Cricetulus griseus: one gene and its partner. Each later gene encodes a partner of the first gene's protein in a complex. Links are inferred from orthologs where the notes say so. Each region holds a gene or a part of one and is shown in the gene's direction. Other genes may lie near its edges.

Evidence for each region. The genes of interacting proteins can lie anywhere in the genome.
Region 2: the proteins of S1pr1 (region 1) and early activation antigen CD69 are in contact, whole or in part, in a cryo-EM structure (PDB 8G94), measured with the Homo sapiens proteins. The link is inferred for Cricetulus griseus from reciprocal best matches to the Homo sapiens genes S1PR1 and CD69. Residues at the interface, in NP_001307659.1 of Homo sapiens: Asn157, Leu160, Phe161, Ile164, Ser165, Trp168, Val169, Leu172, Ile173, Gly176, Ile179, Met180, Gly181; in NP_001772.1 of Homo sapiens: Val41, Ala44, Val45, Val48, Val49, Thr52, Ile53, Ile56, Ile59, Ala60, Val63.

Annotation. Positions count from the first base shown.
Region 1 is NW_023276806.1:42,535,224-42,538,933, forward strand, and holds S1pr1 (sphingosine 1-phosphate receptor 1), read left to right. Parts: upstream 1-839; 5' UTR 840-874; coding exon 875-2,023; 3' UTR 2,024-3,464; downstream 3,465-3,710.
Region 2 is NC_048601.1:16,772,754-16,776,503, forward strand, and holds the start of early activation antigen CD69, read left to right. Parts: upstream 1-1,347; coding exon 1,348-1,411; intron 1,412-3,750. UniProt on the Homo sapiens protein: Transmembrane protein expressed mainly on T-cells resident in mucosa that plays an essential role in immune cell homeostasis.

The DNA of each region.
Region 1 (3,710 bases):
AGACTTACTTTGTTAAATGACCCTCCCGCAAATCTACTTTCTTGCATGGTAATTAGGAGGTGGGCTGGTCTCTATGAGCTCTCTCTCTCTCTCTCTCTCTCTCTCTCTCTCTCTCTCTCTCTGTGTGTGTGTGTGTGTGTGTGCCTGTAGAGGGGGGAGGGCAGGCGAGTACATGTCAGCACTGCACTCAGAATTGGCAGTTGGGGCCTTCTGTGAGAAGAGGCCCTAGGGCTGGTGGTGACCAAGTGCCTGAGCTGGTGACCACTTACAGGAATCTCAGGGTTGGAAGCTGAAGGTGGCAATGCCAGGGGAAATGGTGAGGGGCTGAAAACTAGAAAGGGACAGTGTTTCCCATTCCAGCTTTGTGGATTTAGTGACCAGAGGGAAGTTTGCCCTCAGTTTTTTGTTGTTGTTGTTTTCTCCCTCTCTTTCTACTTCACCTCTCTCTCTCTCTCTCTCTCTCTCTCTCTCTCTCTTTCTCTCTCTCTCTCTCTCTCTCTCTCTGTGTGTGTGTGTCTTGCTCTCTCTTTCTAGTTTATTTTGTTTTGTTACTAGAAATGATAATTTGAGTTAAAAAATCCTCCCTATCCTCCGGCCAAGATTTCTTAAAACAAATCAACAACAAACTGGAGCAGTCCCTTGGCCAGAATGAATTATTCTAGTGTGCTGGGCCTTTCCCCTGATTCTCTTTTCTTTGTAACTTCTTTAAGGCTGCTGCTGTTTCGGAGGCCCTCTCCAGCCAAAGAAAAGCTACACAAAAAGCTTTGGATTGCTCACTGACGGAGCCTGCAGTAACTGAAGGACTGCTCAACCTCTCCCTCTAGCGTTCGTCTGGAGAAGTACCACCCCGGTCTCCTGGGGACACATTGCGGCTATGGTGTCCACCAGCGTCCCGGTGGTTAAGCCCCTTCGTAGCTCAGTCTCCGACTATGGCAACTATGATATTATCGTGCGACATTATAACTACACAGGCAAGTTGAACATCGGGGCAGAGAAGGACCATGGCATTAAGCTCACTTCAGTGGTCTTCATTCTCATTTGCTGCTTCATCATCCTAGAGAATATATTTGTCTTGCTAACTATTTGGAAAACCAAGAAGTTCCATCGGCCCATGTACTATTTCATCGGCAATCTGGCTCTCTCGGACCTGTTCGCAGGAGTGGCTTACATAGTTAACCTGCTGTTGTCTGGGGCCACCACCTACAAACTCACCCCCGCCCAGTGGTTTGTGCGGGAAGGGAGTATGTTTGTGGCTCTGGCTGCCTCGGTGTTCAGCCTCCTTGCCATTGCCATTGAGCGCTACATCACCATGCTGAAGATGAAACTACACAATGGGAGCAACAGCTCACGTTCCTTCCTGCTGATCAGCGCCTGCTGGGTCATCTCCCTCATCCTGGGTGGCCTGCCCATCATGGGCTGGAACTGCATCGGCTCGCTGTCCAGCTGCTCCACCGTGCTCCCACTCTACCACAAGCACTATATTCTCTTCTGCACCACCATCTTCACTCTGCTCCTGCTGTCCATCGTCATCCTCTACTGCAGGATCTACTCCTTGGTCAGGACTCGAAGCCGCCGCCTGACCTTCCGAAAGAACATTTCCAAGGCCAGCCGCAGTTCGGAGAAGTCGTTGGCCTTACTGAAGACTGTCATCATTGTCCTGAGTGTCTTCATTGCCTGCTGGGCCCCTCTCTTCATCCTACTGTTGCTGGATGTGGGCTGCAAGGCGAAGACCTGCAGCATCCTGTACAAAGCAGAGTACTTCCTGGTTCTGGCTGTGCTGAACTCAGGTACCAACCCCATCATTTACACGCTGACCAACAAGGAGATGCGCAGGGCCTTCATCCGGATCATATCCTGTTGCAAATGCCCCAACGGAGACTCCACTGGCAAATTCAAACGGCCCATCATCCCAGGAATGGAATTTAGCCGCAGCAAATCAGACAACTCCTCCCACCCTCAGAAGGATGATGGGGACAACCCAGAGACCATTATGTCCTCTGGAAATATCAACTCTTCCTCCTAAAACTGGAAGCTGTTGATACTGGGGAAGCATTCTGACTTGGTCACCCACTACCCCAGAACTTAAAAAATGGCTCCCGTTCCCCTTGCTGCCTAGAAGGAGCTCCCGGGAGCCTGAAAGCGGGAGGGAAGGGAGAGTGTGTGGCCTGGCGATGCCATGATGTAGGTAGGTAGTTCTTGTGAACAATACACTGGGAAGGGTGGAGATTAGGTCTGGCCTCCAGTGGGTTTCCTGCCCTCCCCCATACCCTGGAGCTTTGATTTTGCACTGAGCCAAAGGTCTAGCATTGTCAAGCTCCTGAAGGGATCATCTGACCCCTTCTCAAAGACTAAGGTCCTATGAGAAAGTGTCCCTGGAGTTTTGCGATGTGATCTTTCACTGTAAAGGCAAAGTGAGTATGTGTCCTTCAGCTTGGTAGGGTGGTATGCATGTCCCACTCTCCCGCCCCTTCTTACCTCCCCTCCCCTTCCCACCTCCTCTCCATATTCTCTAATTTTATATCTTAACTGTCTGTTCGTCAGAAGGAGGTTATACGGGGCTCTATTTCTTGATTGTCTGAAACTGACAGGCTGTTAACTCGGAAGGCTATTTGCTGAGGCCAAAGTGTCCATGTACGATGCGTCAAGTTGTTGGTGATTTGCTAGGCTGTCTTTAGTATGAAAATGTTTTCTTTATTCCTCACAGGAATGCCTTATTCCCATTACAATCACAATGGATATGTGTTTGTAATGGAAATAACGAAGTCTACTTTATCTGAATTATACCAGCCATGATCTTAGGTGTGTTCTCTATTCCTCATGCATTCCTTATTCCCATTACAACTACAATGGACATGTGTTTGTAATGGGAATAATGAAGTCTACTTTATTTGAATTATGTCAGGTAGGATTGTAGAAGAAACAGGAGAAAAACAGAATACGGTGAACTGCGGGATTAACTTTCAGAAACCAAGAGTGACTTCTTGATGTCTTTCCTCTAACAAACACAATGTTTTTGGCACTTTTATTGATTATTTCAGAGTGTTGTGTGATCCATTTCAAACAACTGGGGGATGGTTGTATCTTGTTTAAAATACAATTTATGATTTTTGAATGTATTTGCTTCTTTGAGGCCATCTTATTGAGAGTTTTTTCCTAACCTGTGTTAACACCATTGAATGTGTAGTCCTTAAAAAAGTGTCACCCTTTTGTACCCGAAAAGCATTACTTTAACTGACAGGGGGCATCAGGAATTCTTCATTTCGGCTGTCATTAGATATTGATGGAGGGTGTAAATGTTACAGAGAATAAAAATATATTACTGTCTCTTTAGTATGGTTTTCAGTGCAATTAAACAAAGAAATGTCTTTTTAAAAATAGTATTTAATAGGTTTCTGACTTTTGTGGATCATTTTGCACATAGCTTTATCAACTTTTAAACATTAATAAACTGATTTTTTTAAAGATCCTTTTGTGAAGAGAACTTTTTTAAAAAGTCATTCACGGAGATATCTGTTGATTGTGTGGTTCTTGGAGTTAAAGTTAAGAGCAAATTTGTGGTACTCTTTAAAAGCTTTTACCTTGATAAGCTACGTAGGGTATGGAAAATGTGGTTTGTTTAGAAACCACTCTAGCTTTTTCAGGAAGAGAAACTTCAATAAACTAACATTAAAGACATGTAGAGAATAAGAGAAAAACCATCAACCTTTTAA
Region 2 (3,750 bases), on another chromosome or scaffold:
TTCTAGGGAGCCTTTGGGAGGAAGCCTTTGGGAGCTGACTGTCTCACCAAGATGCTCTGATGTATTTATAAACCTCACCCCAGCTGCTGTGCAGGAAAGTACTGGGAACAAAGTGGCACCAGGATCAATATGCACCTGTCTGTGTCTCAAGCAGAAAAATGCACCTGCTGGCTCCCCTCAGTTGTCTGCATGGCATCTTCCAACCTACCTAAGCTAGCATCGTCACTAAAGCTTTATTCTGCAAACCTGACAACCTTATTCCAGGAGTGACTGTGTTCTTTGGGCACCAAAGTTATTAATCAGAGTGATACTTTTATCCTTTTCATTAGAACCCCTGAGTCACCAAATGGACACTTTCTCACTTTGTTTTGTGTTGTACTTAATAACTTACCGGGATGAGATTGGTACAATGGGGAGATATGGGTATTGGAATCACATTTCAAATATCTGAGGTCACAGATATCTGAACCAAACAAATAACTTACAGGATGGGGACTGAAAACAGAAAGACTTTCTGCACTGAAACAAAGGAAGTCTGACAGTGGAGGATGACAAGAAAATGAGCAAGGGACGATGAAATAGATTACCGAAGATAAACAGTTTTAGAACGCATCGAGGAAGTTCCAGGCCACAAGCTTTCTATTTCCTGCACCAAAGCAACTCCTGACTAAATGACACTTGAAAGAACTAGTCCCTGTGGGGGAAAAGAAGTGAACGTCACACTTTTTAAATTCATAATTTCATAAATAAAACCTGTCCCAGTTGGAGAGAGAGCCACGCGGATAGAGATTTTAAAATTCCCTACTCAACAGCGCACCTTCTGGCTACCAGCAGCACCTGGCACACAATAGATACCCAATAAATGCCAATAGCTACAGGTACAAAGAAATGCATGCGTAGGATTACAAAACAAAGTTTGCTCTCTCTTCCAGTGTTTTTCCATATCAAATACGGTGACCTCAAACCATTAACTCTTTGCTTAGATTATGCTATTTCCTAAGTTATTTATGATTTTCTAAAAATTTGGGGAAAGGTGTCTTCAATTCTGGGAAAATCCCACTTAACTACTGTTGTGAGAAAGCACATTTCAGACAGCAGGGAAAGCCCGAAGCTCACCACCACAACACACGGTGAAGTGTCTGGGCCACTGGAGCATAAATTAAAGAGAACTGGCAGAATTGACCGAGTAGAAGAGAGGAGGAAGGGGTGGGGCCAGACTGATGGGGTTTAAAAGCTGAAACGCTTCAGAGACCAAGACACTGAACAAGACAGCTCCAGCAAGAGCTCACTGTAGCCCTCTTAAGATACACCAGAGAAGCCAGGGAATTTTGAGAAGAAAAAAAGAAGATGAATTCTGAAGAGGGCTCTGTAACAGAGAACAGCTCTTCACATCTGGAGAGAGGGGAGAGGGGTAAGTCTTGTGATTTCTTACATTCTGGTATGATCTCTATGTCTGGTGAATGGAAGAGAGTGCAGAATGGACAGATATCTTTGGAGGACTTGGTTAGGTTCTATTTCAGTTGGGAAAAGAGAGACTGGCCGTAGGTAAATACCAGAGAGGGAGCTATATGAGTTTCAGAGGATCTTTAGATGACTTTTCCTTCGAATCAATTACATCATTTCAACTATCAAATTTAAATGGAAAATTCTCTGCCTTATCCTACTTACTTGCTTTCATTTTCCCATAACCATCTGTGCATAATTCAGGAGGTCTTAACCCTCTTTATGAAGAGCTCCTTTTCATATGAACAGTTATGTTCTTGGTCTTTCCTTGTATGTTGTCCTGCTTTCTGTGTGTCTTGCTTCTTCAGTGCTCCCATCACAAATCCTTCAGTGGGCAGAAGCACACAGATCTCCAGTCTAAGAGAAAACAGCTATACACACACATAAACATTCACAGTGTGTCTCGTGATGACCTATTGGGATGTAGCCCTTCCTTTCTTTAAAATGTCATCTTCTGCCATGATCTCTTTGGAACACCTTCTTTCCATTTTATCCTATTTCTGTCCTCCAATGGCTCATTTCAAATTCTATAACAACTATATGTTTTTTCTTCGTTTTTGTTGTTGTTGTTGTTGTTTCTCAAGACAGCGTTTCTCTGTGTAGCTTTGATGTTTTTCTTCATTTTTATCCAAACATGATCACTCTGCACATTTCCCTGTGTCTGTTCTACACACATTATTCTTCCTATTGTCAGAATTCCCCCATGCTGTTTCTGAGAGATGAGGAGCCCTCAAGCTCTTAGCACTTGGGAACTAGAGTGATTGTAAGTAAGAGCTCTGCAGTTAATAATGGAATGTGCTAGACCCAACACAGCTGGGACCGTTGGTGATGAGGGAGATATTTTATGAGTGTTTCATTGTCAGGTTGGTTTATTATAAAAAAAAAAGCCTCCATCACCTTTAAAAACCCATCCCTTATTTGAGATCATGAAATCAAGTACAGACAAATAGTTTGCAATATTCATTTTTATAGACCTAAGTCACCCATACCTGTATGTCTCACTTAAAATGAAAAAAAAGTATAACAAATAATAATGAAACTATAATCAATAGTGGAATGAAGGAAGGGGCTAATGCAGAAAATCCCATTCTGGTCTAGGATTAGACCCATCTACCCTTCTATGTTTAGCCTATGCTCTCATTGTCATAACCGTAATCGTAAAGGAATCAGCAGGCTCCTCTTGGGTAACTGAAAGGTGATAAATAGGTGGATCTGTTTTCAACCTCTACAATAAGTCACAGGCCTCAGACGTGTGCTGTTACGGGGGAATGTTTTGTTGCCTAGGTGACAGGTTGAGCTGTGGTTAGCCGTGACCCCCAGTGATGGAAATAAAGTGTCACGTGGGAGCTTGTCTCCACACTCTGTCCACCAGGTGGGTCGATGTGTTGAGCTTGCTGATATCTAGGTGTTGTTTTGGATGTAGATGTGTTTTCTGTGGAGCTAGAGTTATTGACAAATGGAGTACGAACAGTGTGACTGACTACCATATGTGGAGAAGTGAAACTAGACCCATCTCTGGACTTGTTATCAGCCTGCCAAAGACTACCTCTGAAGATAAGTCTGTAGGTGTAAAAAGGGAGGCAGGGGAAAAAACAGATCCTGGCAGGATTGATAAAGTCTTCTCTTAGAAAATCTGAAAATGGACTCTAACCAAGAAAAAGAAAAAGGAAAACCTCTAGGAAATGCATGGGTTGGTGATATTAGTTAGACTGTGCCTTCTCTGCAACTTTACCTGTAATGAGATGTTTTAAGAAAAAGAAAAAAAAGAATTCACAAATTCCAAGATACAGTCTACAGAATGATTCTTTTAGTTATAAAAAGTCATCCACATTGAAAAGTTATATGCTATAATGAGAAAAATCATTTGGGACAAGTTCTCAACTTGCAGCCAAAACCAGCTGCAAGCTCACTGACCCCCTACTTGTTGGGATTACAACAGTGGAGACAGATTGTCACTGCCAGTTATAATGTCATTCATGGAGCCATTTCACACTGTAGCTTCTGTGAACATTTTTAAATCTAATTTGGGAACTTATAAGGGCATTCTTGTGGGGCCACACTGTGTTGAATGTTGAGGGTCATCCTACAAAAAACAAATCAAAATCTGAAGCCAAAAATGACTTCTCCCTCTGTCTACTTATCTAACATGCTAGAACAGACATATTCCTACCTATGCAAATCCTGACAAAGAAACGTTTCTTTTGTGTTGTTGTTGTCATCTTGTTTACTTGTTTGGGTTTTTTGTTC